2 linked regions of the Alligator mississippiensis genome follow. The protein of the gene in region 1 interacts with the protein of each later gene in a pairwise test. Links are inferred from orthologs where the notes say so. Each region holds a gene or a part of one and is shown in the gene's direction. Other genes may lie near its edges. The genes, in order: TOX4 and FNDC3B.

Region 1 (8,180 bases):
GGGACAGAAAAGCAGAGCCTGGCAGCAAAATGAAAACAGTGCTGTAGAAACGTTGCTTTCAAGAAACAACAGTATTGGATGTTAAGATGGACCGAGTAGCAGGAAGGTAGTTCAGCACTGGACCAGGACCCCTGCTGGGTGGTACAACCTCAGTCCTTGAGAGTTTGTAAGAACAGGTCAGATAGACAGCGGGCCAGGCTGGTCCAAACAGGGATGATTGTGCCTGGAGGTAGGGGTGGACCTGGATGCAGTGTCCGAGGAGCTCAGCTCCTGTATGCTTTAGCTTTTTCCAAGTGTAGGGATCTCAAACAAGAGCATCGGAGAAGTGCTAAAAACAAACAAACAAAAAAAAACAACCCCCCCCCCAAAATTATTTTTTTTTCCCCCTCCAGAAACTCAATGAACTGGCAAGGCTGTCCACTGAACTGCACTGACCCTCGGAGGTAGTCTGTCCCAGGAAAAACCACATCCCATTTCACTGCTGAAACAGGACCCCATGAACAAAGCCCGAACCCCAACTAAACAGTCACGGGCTTTTGGATACAAAGCTTTAGTCGAACTCTGCAAGTGTTAATTTTTCCTGCGTAACACTTTTGTATTTTTTTGCCACAATTCTACACTTCCAAGTTATTACTCCCCCTGGAAAAAAATTCTGAATAAGCATTAGAGAAAGTGCAACAAATGCTTTTCCTAAACAAAGTAGTTTAAAAAAAGTTTTGATTTTAATTTTTTGGGGGGTGGGGTGTCAAGTCAGGTCAGCCCTGCGGGCGCTGTGAGTGTTACATATACACATACACATTTCCTCTTAATTTTTCTTAGTGGTAAGTAAAAGGAAAATGGGGGGGGAGGGTGGGGGGAGGAGAGAAAAAAAAGGATAAAGAGTCAAATTTATTAAGACTGCTTCTCCCCCCGTCCCCCTTCCCCACAACACCTCTCCTTTGTGGAACAGAATGTAAAAACATGAGCAAAATTAGAGGTCCTTCCTACATCACGGTTTTGAACTTCCTAAAACTTTGCCGTAGGAAAAAGTATGTCTACAAGTGAATAAATAAACCTGAGAATGTTAACGTTTATTTCCAAACTAAAAAACAAACAGCAGCTGTTTAGCCTCAAAAAAGGGAAAACCTTCCCCCCCCCCACCATCCCCCCAAATCACATCAAAGTTTTTCAGAAGGAAATGTTAGTTCAGAGAACCAAGGTTCATTTGACAAGACTCAATTCTAGGTGGTTAAACTGCCCATGGCTGGGGCTGAAACCCTTGCTGCTATGGCCAATGCCTGCATTGAGGTAACACCCAAGGCTGCTGTCAGCTACAGCTCCATCATGCCAGATACTGAACAGAAGTGCATAGCTACTCTCCTTTCTGCCCCCAAGCAACTCACCAGCCAAGGTCTATTCATAAGACAGTCACATTGGGCAAAACCCAAGATGAACTCAGCCTAGACACAAACCCAGATCAGAGCCCACGGAGGGGCCTGTTCTAGGTGCAGAGATTGGTGACCTTGAATGCAGGAGGAACAAAGAGGAGGTACGAGCAAAGAACAGCTACCCAGGGGGTAACAGCACTTACCTGAACACCCAAGACAGCAGGTTCCAGTCCACTGGCCACAAATAAGGATCTGCCTGGGGACTGGCAGGTTCTCAAGGATTGGAGGAGAAAGGGGCTGGCCCAGTCCTGGTCCCCATCTGACAGGGGCAGCAAAGGAAGGACAGCCACAGGGAGCAGAGGGGACTGTGTGAGCAAAGCCACCCTCCATGAGCCAAGCACTGGCCTAACCCAGAAACCCTTCCCAGCCCTGGCCCCCATGGATGAGTTGCCTCAAGGGGGTTAAAGGCAACAGTGACCCCAACTCTTAGCCTCCCAGCTGGACAGCTCTTTGCTGGCCCCCTCAGAGGAGCCAGGCAGCAGCTTTGGGCATCACAAGGAGCTCAGAGGGGTTATCTGTGACCCATGAGCCACGTTCACCGAGGTTGGGATTCCTCAGTGTCCACAGGGCCTGGGCGCCGTGGGCAGCCCTACCAGTGCTGTCACACAATCCCATTTGGGGGCCTGCAGAGCCATGGGCCTGGTGCTGCTTCAGCTGCTTCCAAAAGGGGCTAGGAGCTGCCCAAGAGGCATAAATCACTTAGCAACTAGGAGCATGGAGCTGGACTCCCCTTGGAGACCACAAAAGCACCCACCCAGCATGAAAGGGATGCTGATAAGAAAGTCATTCCTTCTCTAGGAGCAGGACAGGAAATAGGGCTCCTGGGTTGTATCCTGGGCTCCAGCAAGGGGCTGGGGCCTAGCAGACCTGATTGGGGAGGGATCTGGGAGCCAAGACATTCCCAGGTTACTCCCAGACACTCACTGCAGCAGCTTCCCCAGTCCCTCCACCCCCATGGAGAGCAACACATGGGGAGAGCCGAACACATGCAGACATTTAATAACAGGAGAAACCACAGAGAGCAAGTACAGTATAAAAGCTGACATGGGTGCAGGGAGGGGCCGGGCACCTGGCCAGGACCCTGCAGGACACAGGGGACCCAGCCAGACCCAACTGGGTCCCAGGCAGTAAGAGAGACAGCCGGGGGGGGGTGGAAGGCACTGACAAGGGGAGGCCCTAGCCCTGGGCTCTGTCCCGTCGGCAACCCACAGCCAGCCAGGAGGAATGTGTGGTTGAGGCAGAGCCCAAAGTCTCCCCCAGGCACAGGCTAAGGGGTGCCTGGTCCTTGCCCCTTTTTTCAGGGCCCAGATGGGGGGGGTTGCTGAGACATGGGGGAGGGGGGGAAATTACCCAGCCCAGCCACCCCCTACAGTCCCCCACCCCTTGGCTCAGCCACGAGGAGCTGTCTCCCTTGCCAGGGGCTAGAGCGAGCTGGTCCTGGCCCCAGAGGCTCAACAGCAGCCTGAGCTGTCCCCGGAGCCCTGGGGGCCATGGCGAGAGCCAGCACCAGGAGCCACTCCCGAAGGCTGCTGGGGACCAATCTTGATGCCATTTGCCTGGAAGAGAACAAGGAAGAGGGTGGGAGAGAGCATTAATAGGGGCATAGCAATCAATAAAACTAGGCTGCCCAAGGTAGGTGCCAGGCCCAGATAAATCAGCCAACCCTTATGGAAAGGGACCCAAGTGTTAAGGACAGCAGCATACCTTGCTCACCCCCACAAGGCCCCACCATGGAAGGAAGAATGGGATCCAGGTGTTCCGGACTGGATTCCTAACTCACCTCATTGTTCACGTCAAACAGCCCCTGCTGGATCTTCCTGTAGATCTCTTTGGCCGTGTCAATAAAGGCCTGAAAGAAGGCAGCCCAGGGTGAAGCGGAGGTGGATGGGGGAAGTTAAGGGTTAGTGGCCCCACTCCTTCCGGGACCCCATTTGTCAAGGGTTTGGGGTGCTCTAGGATTTGGATGGTCCACATCCCCACCTGGGCTCAGCCAAGACCCGCTCCTTTGCGAGAGGTGCGGAAGAGCACCTCCTCACCCCCCCTCCCCACAACCCCAGTCACCTCCTCAACGTTGGTAGCTGTCTTGGCAGAGGTCTCCATGAAGACCAGCCCGTGCTCCCGTGCAAAGGCCTCGCCCTCCTCCTTCCGCACGTCCCGCCGTGACTCCAAATCGCTGCAGACGCATGCAGGGAGGAGGGGGAAGCATCATGGCCAGGACCCATCTGGGACCCCATACCCACCCAAAGGCCAGCTTAAGTCCCACCGCACATCTGTGAGGCCTGCATCCAGGGCGACATCCAGAGGGTCTTCTTACGGCCACCACCTTCGGGCCTCTCCCTTTTATACCCAAACCCCTGCATCCTATAACCAGCAGCCTCCCTGTAGGCTCCGCCCCTCCTAGCCCCCCACTGCCTCAGGGGTCCCCCCACCCCTCCCCGCCTGTCACCTCTTGTTGCCGATGAGCATGATCACCATGTTGGAGCTGGAGTGCTGCCGGGCATCCTCCAGCCATGAAGTCAGGTGGTTGAAGGTCTCGCGCCTGGGTGGGGGCTGCCATGAGAAGGGGGCGGCGGCAGCACCAGGGCTCCCCCAGGAAGGGAAGGAGGTGCAGGGGGAAGCCTTCCCACCCCAGGAGCCGGGCCTCACCTGGTGATGTCGTAGACCAGCAGAGCCCCAGCCGCCCCCCGGTAGTAGGAGCGCGTGATGGAGCGAAAGGACTCCTGCCCGGCCTGCGGGGCGCAGGGGCAGAGGGGTCAGGGATCTCGTTCGTGGCTCTGGCTTGACCCAGCGCTGCTTAATCCCGCCGGGCGGCCCCGCTCCCCCCCACACCCCACGGACTCGAACACTGGCCACCCCCGCAGCCCGGCTCACTGTGTCCCAGATCTGCAGCTTGATTTGCTTGTTGTCAATGTTGATCATCCGCGCCCCGAACTCCACACCTGCAGGGCCAGGCTCCGTCAGCACCCCCGGCCTGGACACCCCTCCTGTCCCCCCACAGCACCCTGACTTCATCCCCTCCCCCACCCGCCTACAGCCCCACAACCCCCCTATCCCCCATCACCGATGGTGAGGTCGTGCACGGGCTGGAAGCGCTTGTCCGTGAACTGCAGCAGCAAGCAGGACTTGCCGACGCCTGCAGGCAGCGAGCGGAGTCAGGGCTGGGCCCGGGGTCGGAGCCGCCGCTGCCCGCTCCCGGCCCCGGGCCCCCGCCCCGTACCGGTGTCCCCGATGATAATGTACTTGAAGAGATAGGTGTAAGACATGATGCCCCGGTCCGATGCGGTCCTCCCAGGGCCGCTCTACCCCCCGACTCAGCTTCACTTCCGGGGAGACGCTCTAGCCCAGCCGCAGCCTCCTGGCGCCTTTACTGCTCCGCGGCCCACACTTCCGGTGCCATTCTACCCGCCTCCTGGGGCCGCGCTGGCCGCCTGGAGGCCTCCCTCTCTACTCCTCCTACGGGCGATTCTGGGGGGGTGGCTACATTCAGCTTCCCCTTAGGGCCTAGAGTTCGAGCCCGAGTTTGGAGGGGAGGCGGAAGTGACGCACGAAGGGGGATTTCCGGTTCCTTCCTTAGGACTCGGAGGGGGTGGGGGAGGCGGTGCTTGGCGATCGGTCGGGACGCGGCCATGGAGGTGCCGGGGCCGGGAGCACGGGGGTGGGGGTGGGGGTGGAGGAGGGGAGCACAGGTGTGGGGGTGGGGAGGGGGAGAGGGTCCGTGCCCCGCCCGGTGAAGCCCGTCACGTATCCCTGCTTCCTCCCCAGTTCCCGGGCGGGAGCGACAACTACCTGGCCATCACGGGCGCCACGCACCCCTTCCTGACGGGCGCCGAGGTGAGGGGGGAGCCGGGGCGGGGAGGGTGGCGGGTGCGGGGTGCCCGGCGCGGGCTCACGGTCCCGTCCCCGTCCCCGCAGACCTTCCACACGCCGAGCCTGGGCGACGAGGAGTTCGAGATCCCGCCCATCGCGCTGGACGCGGACCCGTCGCTGGCCGTGGCGGACGTGGTGGGGCACTTCGACGACCTGGGCGACCCCGGCGGCGCCCCTGACGCCAGCTTCTCCGCCCAGTACGGCGTGCAAGCCCTGGACATGCCCGTGGCCATGAGCCACGGCCTCATGGAGCAGGGCGGCGGGCTGCTGCCCGGGGGGCTGTCCATGGTAAGTGCGTGCTGGGGGGCCGCCCGGGCCGGGCGCGCAGGGCAGGGAGCGGTGCTGCTGGCGGTGGTGCCGGCCGGCCCCCCCCCAGCCTGCGCCGTGTGCCCCCAGGACCTGGAGCACTCCATGGGCGCGCAGTACAACGCCAACCCGCCCGTCACCATCGACGTGCCCATGAACGCCATGAGCCCGGGCAGCCTCATGGGACACGGGCAGCTCACCACCATCGACCAGTCGGAGCTGAGCTCCCAGCTCGGCCTCAGCCTGGGGGGCAGCGCCATTCTGCCCCCGGCCGCCGCTCCTTCTGCCACCGCCGCTGCCGCCGCCGCCGCCGCTGCCGCCGCCCCGGCTGTGGCCCCCGCCACGGCGGCGTCACCTGAGGAGCGGATGTCCACCACGCCTTCCCCCACCAGCTCGCTGCAGGAGGAGGAAGCTGAGGAGTTCAGACGGGTGAGAGCCTGACTCCTGCGTTGCTCGGGTAGTTGATTCCCACTTCTTCCCCCCTCCCCTTGCTTTGCGTCCGTAGCCCGCTGAGGTCACGCCTGCCGCGTTCGGTCGCTGCCCCGTCAGCAGGAGCTGGGGCCGAGGCCGCCGGCGGTTCCGTGTTTGTTGGCAAGAAGTGGCCACATGCTCCTGCCCGGCCCTGTTGCGCTTTCCAGCTGTGCCTCGCGGCCTCTAGTCGTCCCAGTCGCAGGCTACCTCTTGCTGATACCCGAGAACAGCTCCGCCACGGATGGGCAAACCTCTGTCTCCAGCCTGCAGTTTGACCGTGCCCCCTCTTCTCGCCCCCACAGCAGGCCCCGGCCCAGAAGGCGACGCTGGTGCTGGACGCGGGGCGGAAGCCGAAGCCGGCTAAGAAGCAGAAGAAGAAGAAGGACCCGAACGAGCCGCAGAAGCCGGTGTCGGCCTACGCGCTCTTCTTCCGTGACACGCAGGCCGCCATTAAGGGGCAGAACCCCAACGCCACTTTTGGGGAGGTCTCCAAGATCGTGGCGTCCATGTGGGACAGCCTGGGCGAGGAGCAGAAGCAGGTGGGCATGGCTGGGAGGGCACGGGGCAGGGGGAACAGAAGCTGGTGGGGGGGAATGAGAGCAGGGCTGGGGCTTGCTGCTGACCTAGTCCTCCCTCCCCCAAGGTTTACAAGCGGAAGACAGAGGCGGCCAAGAAGGAGTACCTGAAGGCATTGGCAGCCTACCGAGCCATCCAGGTGTGTCAGGTAAGGGGGCTGGGCCTCTGCCAGCTGGCCGGGGCTCAGCTCTCTTGTCCGCGGGTGCGCCAGGGTCTTGCGTATCTGTTTGTACGTCTTTCTCATCCCCCATTCTCTCTCCGTGCAGACGCTGGAAACAGAGCTGGACCCCAGCCCAACGCCACCCTCTCCTGCCTCCCAGTCCGTGCAGACGTCTACTCCCGCTGCTTCCTTGACTGCTGCCCTGGCCCCCTCACCTGCACAGGAGACCCCGCTTACGGCCACGCCAACTGCCACCGTCTCTGGGGGCATCTCCTCGCCAACTCCACAGCCTGCCCCAGCTGTCCCCACGCCTGCTCCCCAGACCAGCATCACGAAGATCATAATTCCCAAGCAGATGCTGCCGTCCTCACTGGCTGTGTCCCAGGGTGGCGTGGTCACGGTCATCCCCGCCACTGTGGTGACCTCCCGTGGGCTGCAGCTTGGCACCGGCACCACCCAGATCGTCACTCGCTCCGTGCTGCAGGCGGCAGCTGCTGCAGCTGCGGCTGCCTCCTCCATGCAGCTGCCCAGACTGCAGCCCCCACCCCTTCAGCAGATGCCCCCACCCCAGCCCCCCACGCAGCAGGTGGCCGTGCTGCAGCCCCCACCACCCCTGCAGGCCATGCAGCAGCCCCCGCTGCAGCAGAAGGTGCGGCTCAACCTACAGCAGCAGCCCCCACCGCTGCAGATCAAGATCCTGCCCCCACCTGCCCTGCAGATCCAGCCCGTCACCCTGCAGGCTGAGGAGGCCAGCCCTGAGCGGCCCAGTCCTGAGCTCCAGGGTTCCCCTGAGCCCATGGAGATGGTTACTGCTGATGTGGTGCCTGAGGTGAGTACATGGCTGGGTGTGGGGAGCTGGGTCCTGACTCCTGGTCTGTTGTCAGAGGCTGAGAACCAGCGAGCTTACGGCCTTGTCTGTGTCCAGAAGTTGGAGCAGACACAGGGTACAGTTGGGCATAACCTTTCCCTGATCCCCCTCCCACCTGCAGGTTGAGTCCCCAACGCAGATGGCTGTGGAGCTGGTGACCGGGTCCCCAATGGCCGAGTCACCGCGGCCACGCTGTGTGCGCTCGGGCTGCGAGAACCCACCTGTGGCCAGCAGCGACTGGGACAACGAGTACTGCAGCAGTGAGTGCGTCGTCAAGCACTGCCGGTGAGCGGGGGTGGAGACGGGGTTGCGGGGAAGTCCGGGCGTGCCTCGCTACAGCTAGGTTCAGCTTTGCTCGGACCCTCCCCAGCCACAGTGTCCAGCTCATTCCAACCTGCATACAGCCCTCGGGCACAACCCCAGCCATGGGGCATCAAACACCCTGACCTGCCCTCGGGCAGTGAGGACCAGGCCTTGCCACTGTAATGACTTCATTAAGTCATGC
Region 2 (7,814 bases), about 72 Mb from region 1:
AAGCCCATCCCACCCAAGCATGTCTCTCGTCCTGATATGTGGGTCGTTGTCTAGGAAGCCGAAGCATGCCTCGAGACACCATTCCCGAAGCCACAAGTTGACCTCTCTGATGCAGGTCTCGTGTCATCTTCCAAGTCCGCTCACTGGTAGGACAGAAAAAAATACCACCTGTGCCCCTATCTCCTTCAGCATGCCCCCCAGAGCATGGTAGTCCATCATCAGGTGATCAGGGCTTCTCCTGGCCGCATCATTAGTGCTCACATGGATTAGGACCACGGGGTAGTAATCAGTGGGCTGAATCGTGGCCTGGATCATCCCCGTCACATCCTGAATCTTTGTCCCGGGCAGGCAGATCTATTCTCCTTCCATAATGAGCTATCTATTCTTGGCCAGGAATTAGTCTGCAAGACCCAAATACATAACTCAAAGCAACCTGACTTAGAAAGTCTACATGCTTTAGGTCTGCAGCAAAATATAAACCGTTTTTCCTGATTTCAGATTTCATGTCTTATTTTAGCAACTGCTTATTTTCTGTTGAAAAACATGTTTGACACAAAATGCCAATTTTGAACAAGTCTCTTTTAGATTAAATATTTTCTTTTGGTGAATAACTAAAAAATATGTATTATTTCTGATCAGCGAAAACTGAAAAAAAGGAGCTGATTAGGCAAAAACTAGATTCTACTGAAAAATAGCGCTTGACAAGTGTTGCCACCTTCTAGTTTAAGTGCATAAGATTCCAGGAATCAGTTTTAAAAACTGTAAATCCTCCAGTGGTGTGACAAACAAAACAATATTTAAAGGTGAAATATAGCCTTGTCATGGAAAGTTTCTTACCTTACAGGTCAGAAAAAGGTGAACCAAAGCGTAGCAAGAAGGGTTCAAGGAATGTCTCTCTTTCTTCCTCTCTCACAGGCCTGGTGAGGAAGTTACAAAGTTGAATTCCTCTTTCCAAGTCCAGAGGCTGAGGAAAGAGTAGCTAGCAAATAGTTCTTATTTTATTTTATTTTATTTTATTTTCTCCAGGAGCCAAAGAAAATCATTCACCTTTTTTTTCAAGTTCAAGAAAGGCCACCTTTTACCCAACCTTTTATTACTTTGGGTGTCTTATTAGGAGCACTGAAATAAAGAAAAGAAAATCTTGGGTAGTGGAAACAGTGGATGGGCCGTCCATGAGAATTCCTTCTCTCCTCTCCCCCTTTGGAGCTCAGGGGAGTAAATTGGGTGTGTATCATGTTCTCATCCTTCCCACAATGTAGAGGTGAGGTAAGGAAATCATGGAAGGGAGGGTTTCCATTTTCTGCAGTGAAGAAATCTTATGGGAGTAAATTATTCTTTCATTTCTGGAGATAGAGATGTTTTTCCCTACAATCCTGACTCTAGGGGCTGTAAGGGTTCCCCTTCAATTCTAGTATGATATTTTTTTCTGTTCCTTATATTCCATAAGGACCAGGGAGTCTCCCTCCCCCAGATAGTGAGAGAGTGGTTTTTCACATCCTCCTTCCTTGTTCCCATTGCCTAATGGAAACTAGTCTTACCCTTCCTTTTATTTCTAGATCACCTTCAGTTGCTTTATGTCACTTGTCAACTTTGGAGAACCTATGGGAATTATTTTTTCTCTCCTTCTGTCATCCTCAGTGAATGCTTATCAAACATCACGAGTCAGAGGGTTATGTTGCCCCTGCTGCTATTATTAATTAGTTTGATTAGGCAAATGCACACACTTTCATGGTTTTCCAGGCTCCAGTAGTGAGTTGAACTAGAGAAGCTAACCTCAGTGCCTCACCAGCTATGTAGAGTTTTTGATCTACCCTGATCAATCTTTTTCTTCTACTTTTCCTCCTGCTTCCCACTCCTCTCTCACACCCTTCAGTCTCTATCCCCACCCTAGCACCTTCATTTCCACTGCTCCAGTATCTGCTCTCACCTTTCTAGCCAGCTGGCAGAATGTGAGAAAGCTTTCTTCTAGAGAAAGCTATAATGAAGAAAATATAAAGCAAGTAAGAAAAGAATGGGAGAGATGGCAATGCTGGTGTTTTAAGTAATCAAGGGCCCAATTATATTCCAAATGCAACTAAGAAGACTACATCGAACTTGGTTGCAGATTGTAGTGTAAATGGGTCCTAGTCTTGCTTCAAGGTTTTCTAATTGTTAGACTAAAGTCCTAGAAGAAATTCCTGTCTTCTGCTACACAACTTTCCTGGCTACTTGACTGACTGTTTAGAGGTAAAGGACTGAGTGTGGTTCCCTTTGAGTCTGTGCCAAATACCTGCACAGGAAAACAAACTTTTCTTCCATCCCACTGCAAAGGTACTGCACAGCGACAGGTCCAGGTCCTGGGAAGAAGGGCAGTGCTGCCCTATACAGTAGGGCAGCGGTTCCCAAACTCTGACACACTGCGCATCACTGATTTAAAATGATACAACCTTAAGTACTAGGGGTGTGCAAAATGGCACTGTTCCATTTTGACTTGCGTTTCAAGGTTTTGATGGAACAGCATTTCATTTCAAATTTTGTTTCGATTCGAAACAGCTGTTCCGTTTAGTTTCATCAAAACAGTGACGTTGTTTTTATGCTTTACCCATAGGCTATAATGGGGAAGCTCAAAACAGCCTTCCTCATCCAGCAGGCAGATCGGGGCCCAAACCCGGGAGGGCTGTGGGGGCTGTGCCAGTCTTCCTAGGGTTGCGGGCCCCCATCTGCCTGCCAGATGAGGGAGGGATGCTGCCTGGGACCGGGGAGCTGGGAGGGGAACTGAGCGATTGGGCTCAGTTCCCCTCCCAGGCGCTGGGATCGATCAGGGAAGGGAACTGGGGCTGAGCTGAGTGCTACCATCAGGCTGGGGAAAGGAACTCAGCCCAGCTGAGCTGAGTTCCCCCCTTTAGCTCCATCATCCTGCTGGGGAGGGGAACTCAGCTCAGCTGGGCTGTGTTGCCTTCCCCAGTCCAATCCTCCCTCTGGGGAGGAGAACCGAGTGATCAGGCTCAGTTCCCTTCCCTTCCCCTGTGCTGCGATTGGCTTCCTGCAGCCACGCTGCAGGAGGCAGGGAGAGCCAGGGCTGCGCTCCCCGCCTGGCTGAGCCTGGAGCTGCTGGGAGCACAGCCCTGGCTCTCCTCTGTCTCCCACCACCTGGCTGCTTTGAAACTCAAAACGTTTTGAAAGTTTCGAAACGTTTTGACTAGCCTCTTTTTGTTTCAAGGCTGTTTCGAAGCCCTTTGTTCTATTTTGATTTTATGCGGGTTCTGTATGTGCAAATTCACTCCTATGAGATAACCCATTTTATACCAAAAATGTGTTATATGCGAGGTAAATTCACTCTTATGAGAGGAGTGTGGTGGAAGCTGGCAGTCAGCTGCTTTGTGTGGTGCATTGTGGGAGTGATGTGTGCCAAAATATAGTCTCCTGTGTGGATCTGTGCTCCTTGCTCATTGTCTGCGACATGTTTCTGTAGTTGCCATCCCCACTGTGGCTTCTAAGCGTCCCGCTAGCTTATCTCCTACCCCTCTCTCTGGTCCCTCAATGAAGTGCAGGAGATCTTCACTAACATTGGAGACAAAACTGGAGACCCTTCACCACCTCTCTTCATACCAACTAAACATTCACCACCACCCTGTGCTTGTGTGCACTGTCTGCTGTTGGTGAGTACCAAAATTGTCTTATAAAAGTGGTAGAAATGGGACTGGGCGTCGGTACGGTCAAGGTCTTGGAACGTATCCCCTATTTGTTACATTGCAAAGTGGGGTCCCTTTATGTGAATTCGAGTTACGCACCGTTTTCGAGGACCACACGTACAGCATAAAGTGAGGGGAACCTGTACCCTTCAGAGCAAAGAAGGGCCTGGCAAGCTCCTGTAGGCGGCCATGTCAGCGGCAGGGGCATGGCGGTGGTGAGCTCCTGCCGACGGCCACGACGGTGTTGGCAGTGGGTGCTGAGCACTGAAAAATAGAGGACATCAAGGCCTTCAGTAGAGGACAGAGAACCAGAAAACTGGACTGTCCTCTATAAAACCCAATGAATGGCCACCCTACGGGCGAACCAGGTGGCCACCCAGAGGAGGGGCTGAAAATGGCAATTTTAAAATTATTATTAGTAGGATTATCTCTGGCAAAGGGCAGGGGGGGCGATACTAAAAGTTTGCCCAGGGCTGCCAGGAGTCTAGGTTTGAGCCTACAGGGATTGCTTTGCCGGTGCCCTCCTGCCACGAACGGGGGTGCTTCCAGCGGCGGTTATAAGTGGGGGAGCTCCTGGTCAGCAGCGGCAGGGAGAGGGTGGCGAGCGCTCACCTTGGGTCGGCGACCACCTGCCGTGGGCACTGTGGACCGCAGCGAGGTGGCGCCGTTTTGCAGGGGGTGGCTCAGGGGGCGCACGTGCCCTACACCTCGCCCCTGCCTCCTGCCCAAGGCCGGCCTCTTTCCTCCCCTTTGCTTTTGGCCACCATGTAGTCACTCCAAGACGAGGTGTCGCACATCTGCCCTGCTAGGCCCTCTCCCCAGGCCGCGGCGGGATGCGGCGGGCACAGGAGGGGGCGGGGCGAGGCGGGGCGGGGCCGGGAGGAGGGGGAGGAGGCGGCGGCCCCGCCCCCGGCGGCGTTTGCAGGGAGCGGCTACTCCAGACTGCGCGGTAGCGGTAGCCGTCGCCGTAGCGGTCGTGGTAGCGGTAGTGCGGCCGCCCCCGCCCCATGTGGTCCCGACATCACTGACATGGCGGAGTCCCCGGCACGGCCGCCCGGCAGCGCCTCCGGCTAGAGCTCGCCGCCGCCACCAACATCAGCACCAACACCGCCCGCCGCCCCGGCCGCGCCCAGGTAAGCGCCGCGGCTGCACCCGGGCGGGAAAGTTTCCGTGCGCGGCTCCCTGAGGCGGCGGCGGAGCCGGGCCGGGCCGGGAGCGCCTCCAGCAGAGCCCGGCCAGCCCGCCAGGCTCCGCCGCCTCACGCTCCCCGCCGGCCCGGCCCGGCCCCGCCCCGCCCCGCTCCGCCCCGGGGCAGCGCGGGCTCGGCGCCCACACGGACACGGACACGGGCCCGGCGCGGCCTCCCTCCCTCTCTCCCTCCCGCGCACCCACCGTCGTGGCACGGCCGGCAAGCGGGTCCTCGTCCCCTCCGCGCGTGTGGAGGGCGAGGGCGGGAGCGGGGAGAGGTGCGCGGGTTTCTTCAGGGGCTTTAAGCGGTGCGACGGGAAGCCTGGGATGGAGGGTTTCTGTAGATGTAACTTTCTCGATATTTTATTTGTAAAAATTCACGCTTCGTTTGTTGGGAGGCCTCGGTGCGAATCGAGGTCTGTCTCGTATCACGCGTGAGAGAGGTCCAACTTTTTTAAAGAAGGGATTTGAAAGCTAGATGACTTTCTCTCTGCCGCATCCCATTTCCCGGTAACGTGCCACCTTTTTTTTTCAAGGTGTGTGGCGGGGGAGATGCATGCCGCGCTTGCAGGGTGTTTCTAGCGGAGGGCGGCTGGCGCTCTTTGCTGCTGGGGGCAGGGGCTGCACTCGGTGACCGGCTGAGGTCCTTTCCCATCCGAACATCTGTGAATCGATGGAAGTGGCATCGTGTGGGGCGGATGGGATCACGGAGACCGGTCGCCTGTGTGTCTTTTTTTTTTTTTTCCTTGTGTGCGTCTAGGTAGATATATAGATGAGGAGGTATATAACTTCTTTGTTTTAAATCCTCTTCTCTTTCATGCTCAGCTGAACATCCTCCTGCCTTCTTCTCCCAAAATAAGGTTTTGGCTCACGTTTATGTGGTTTGGGATTTAAAGGAAGGAACAATTCATCCCATCCACATATGAGGATTTTTTCCCCCTTAATTTTCCACACAGGCACAGTTCTGTGCTGTGCATTAGTATCTTTTCCGTGAGGGTCAGAAATTGCATGAAGACAGGGGAAGAGTAGGTCCATCTCTCTTTTTTTTTATGGGGAAACTGAGGCATAAAAACTTATCAAGTAACTTTTCCCTAGTTGACACAGAGACTCGGTGACAGAGTTGGCAATGGAGTTCAGATTTTCCACTGAACCTCATCACTTGTTTGCCCTGTGGTGGAGCACATCCTGACCAGGACTCACCAATACATGTTTAAAAAGTGTTAAGCTTGTCTAACGTGAGCCTCACAACATGTTCACTACCAGATTTTTAAACATGCCCTATTTGTCTTAGTCTAGACATGAGCAGTACGTATGAATGCTAACTGGAAACCTTCCTGGGAAGACGAACGCTGTTCCTGCTGTCGTTTCCCGTATCTCTTAGCAGTAGATAAGATGGAGTGACTCTTACTTGTAGTCTTGGAAGCATTCGCTGCCCCTCGCCTGCTCCCTCCTTACTGTCCCTAGGCTGTAAGATGGGAATTTGTGAGGAAGTTTGCTGCTGGTGTTGCCCCAAGAGGAAGATGGGTCTTGGCAAAATTCCCAGGGTTATTTGTGGTCTTACTGGAGCAGCCTGTCAGCGTCCTTCAAGTCTACAGTGCCTTGTGGTTCTCCCTCATAAATTTTCAAGTGACTAGGTTTTGGTGATTATACTGGGGACCTTACAGTAGTGACAAAGGGTTCTGCTTCCCCTTAAGTGCTATCTATCATTCATTACACTTTGGTTGGCTTACATTCCTAGTGTAGCCCAGGGGTGAGTGTGCATGGAAGCCGACTCATTTTCCATTTTTGAAGTGTCTGGACTCATCTGGTTTGGTCTGAGGTCATTGCTGGGACAATGGAGAGATTTTCACACTATTATCCTACCCCATCCCTAGCCTGAAGATAAATGAAGAATGTCAGCTTCCGAAACAGACTGCTAGTCTGTTGTATCCAAGAAGCGTGAGGTTACAGCCTCATTGCATCTCTTATGCATATTTATTCTTAGGGAAACTGTTATGAAGTTTTCAGTATGAAATGACTGTACTCTGGTTCCTTTTTTTAAAAGAAGACTTAGGAAATAGTAGTTTCCTAGCGTTTTTCAATTAGACTGCACGCAGGAACTTTGTGCACATTCTTTTTTCATAATAATATGTAATTTACATTAATCCATTCCCTTCATAGGCTTAATGAAAATCTCTAAAGAAAGGAATGGGGTTTTGTAAGTTGTATAAGTCTTTCCTCTCTCTCTCCCCTTTCTAAATTCATGGAATTCATATGCAGACCAAAAAATGTTTTGTTTTTTTTTTTGGTTGGTTATTTTTGGTCTGCGTGTCTAGTTTCATTTAGGACTGTTCAGTTAAATTGGCTTTCTTTCCAGAAACCTAGGTCCTAATCCTGTATGTAAACACACATTTGTTGTATAAAGGTCTCTTTATAAATTATTCATAATTACAAAAATTTGGGGTCATGTATACTGAATGCATCAAAGGACTTTCCCAACTGTTTCTCAGTACAGTTACCTACTCCTCCTACCCAGGCAGAAGCTGTTGAATAGTTATTGATCTGTGACAGCAGTATAAGGACCACCAAATTCAGGCTTATTTGGATGAGCAGGGGGAATTATTTCCAATGCTGAGGATCCTTCAGAATTGGGGCATTGCATTGGGAGACTGCATGCCAGAAGGTCATAATTGTTTGGTGGCACACTTTGCACGTGATTTAAGTCTTTTTTCTTTTTTAAATAAAAGGAATTTAAATCTGCAGCTAATGTAGTAGAGGACGTCAGAACACCTAAAAGTTGCATTTCTGAGGCATAAAATACCATAGAACCGAAAGGTTTTTTTAAAACCAGCAGTTAACTTGATTATAATTGGTCTTCCCTACACTACCAAGGCACTACTGTGGGGAATCCTTTTAAAGAAGGATATCAAAAGTAGGGTTGTTTACGGCCAAGGTTTAGTGTCACTGTGTGATATG

Evidence for each region.
Region 2: the proteins of TOX4 (region 1) and FNDC3B interact in binary tests that used the Homo sapiens proteins (3 or more experiments, as listed by UniProt). The two-hybrid records come from large-scale screens. The link is inferred for Alligator mississippiensis from reciprocal best matches to the Homo sapiens genes TOX4 and FNDC3B.

Annotation. Positions count from the first base shown.
Region 1 is NC_081830.1:3,887,942-3,896,121, forward strand, and holds the start of TOX4 (TOX high mobility group box family member 4), read left to right. Parts: upstream 1-4,976; 5' UTR 4,977-5,053; coding exon 5,054-5,059; intron 5,060-5,189; coding exon 5,190-5,258; intron 5,259-5,339; coding exon 5,340-5,582; intron 5,583-5,690; coding exon 5,691-6,029; intron 6,030-6,373; coding exon 6,374-6,610; intron 6,611-6,714; coding exon 6,715-6,795; intron 6,796-6,913; coding exon 6,914-7,636; intron 7,637-7,796; coding exon 7,797-7,960; intron 7,961-8,180. Other genes in the region: RAB2B (ras-related protein Rab-2B), read right to left, coding at 2,879-2,983, 3,208-3,276, 3,489-3,600, 3,874-3,966, 4,074-4,156, 4,299-4,366, 4,489-4,560, 4,645-4,690. UniProt on the Homo sapiens protein: Transcription factor that modulates cell fate reprogramming from the somatic state to the pluripotent and neuronal fate. In liver, controls the expression of hormone-regulated gluconeogenic genes such as G6PC1 and PCK1.
Region 2 is NC_081830.1:75,858,429-75,866,242, forward strand, and holds the start of FNDC3B (fibronectin type III domain-containing protein 3B), read left to right. Parts: upstream 1-4,659; 5' UTR 4,660-4,804; intron 4,805-5,039; exon of another isoform or gene 5,040-5,137; intron 5,138-7,814. UniProt on the Homo sapiens protein: May be a positive regulator of adipogenesis.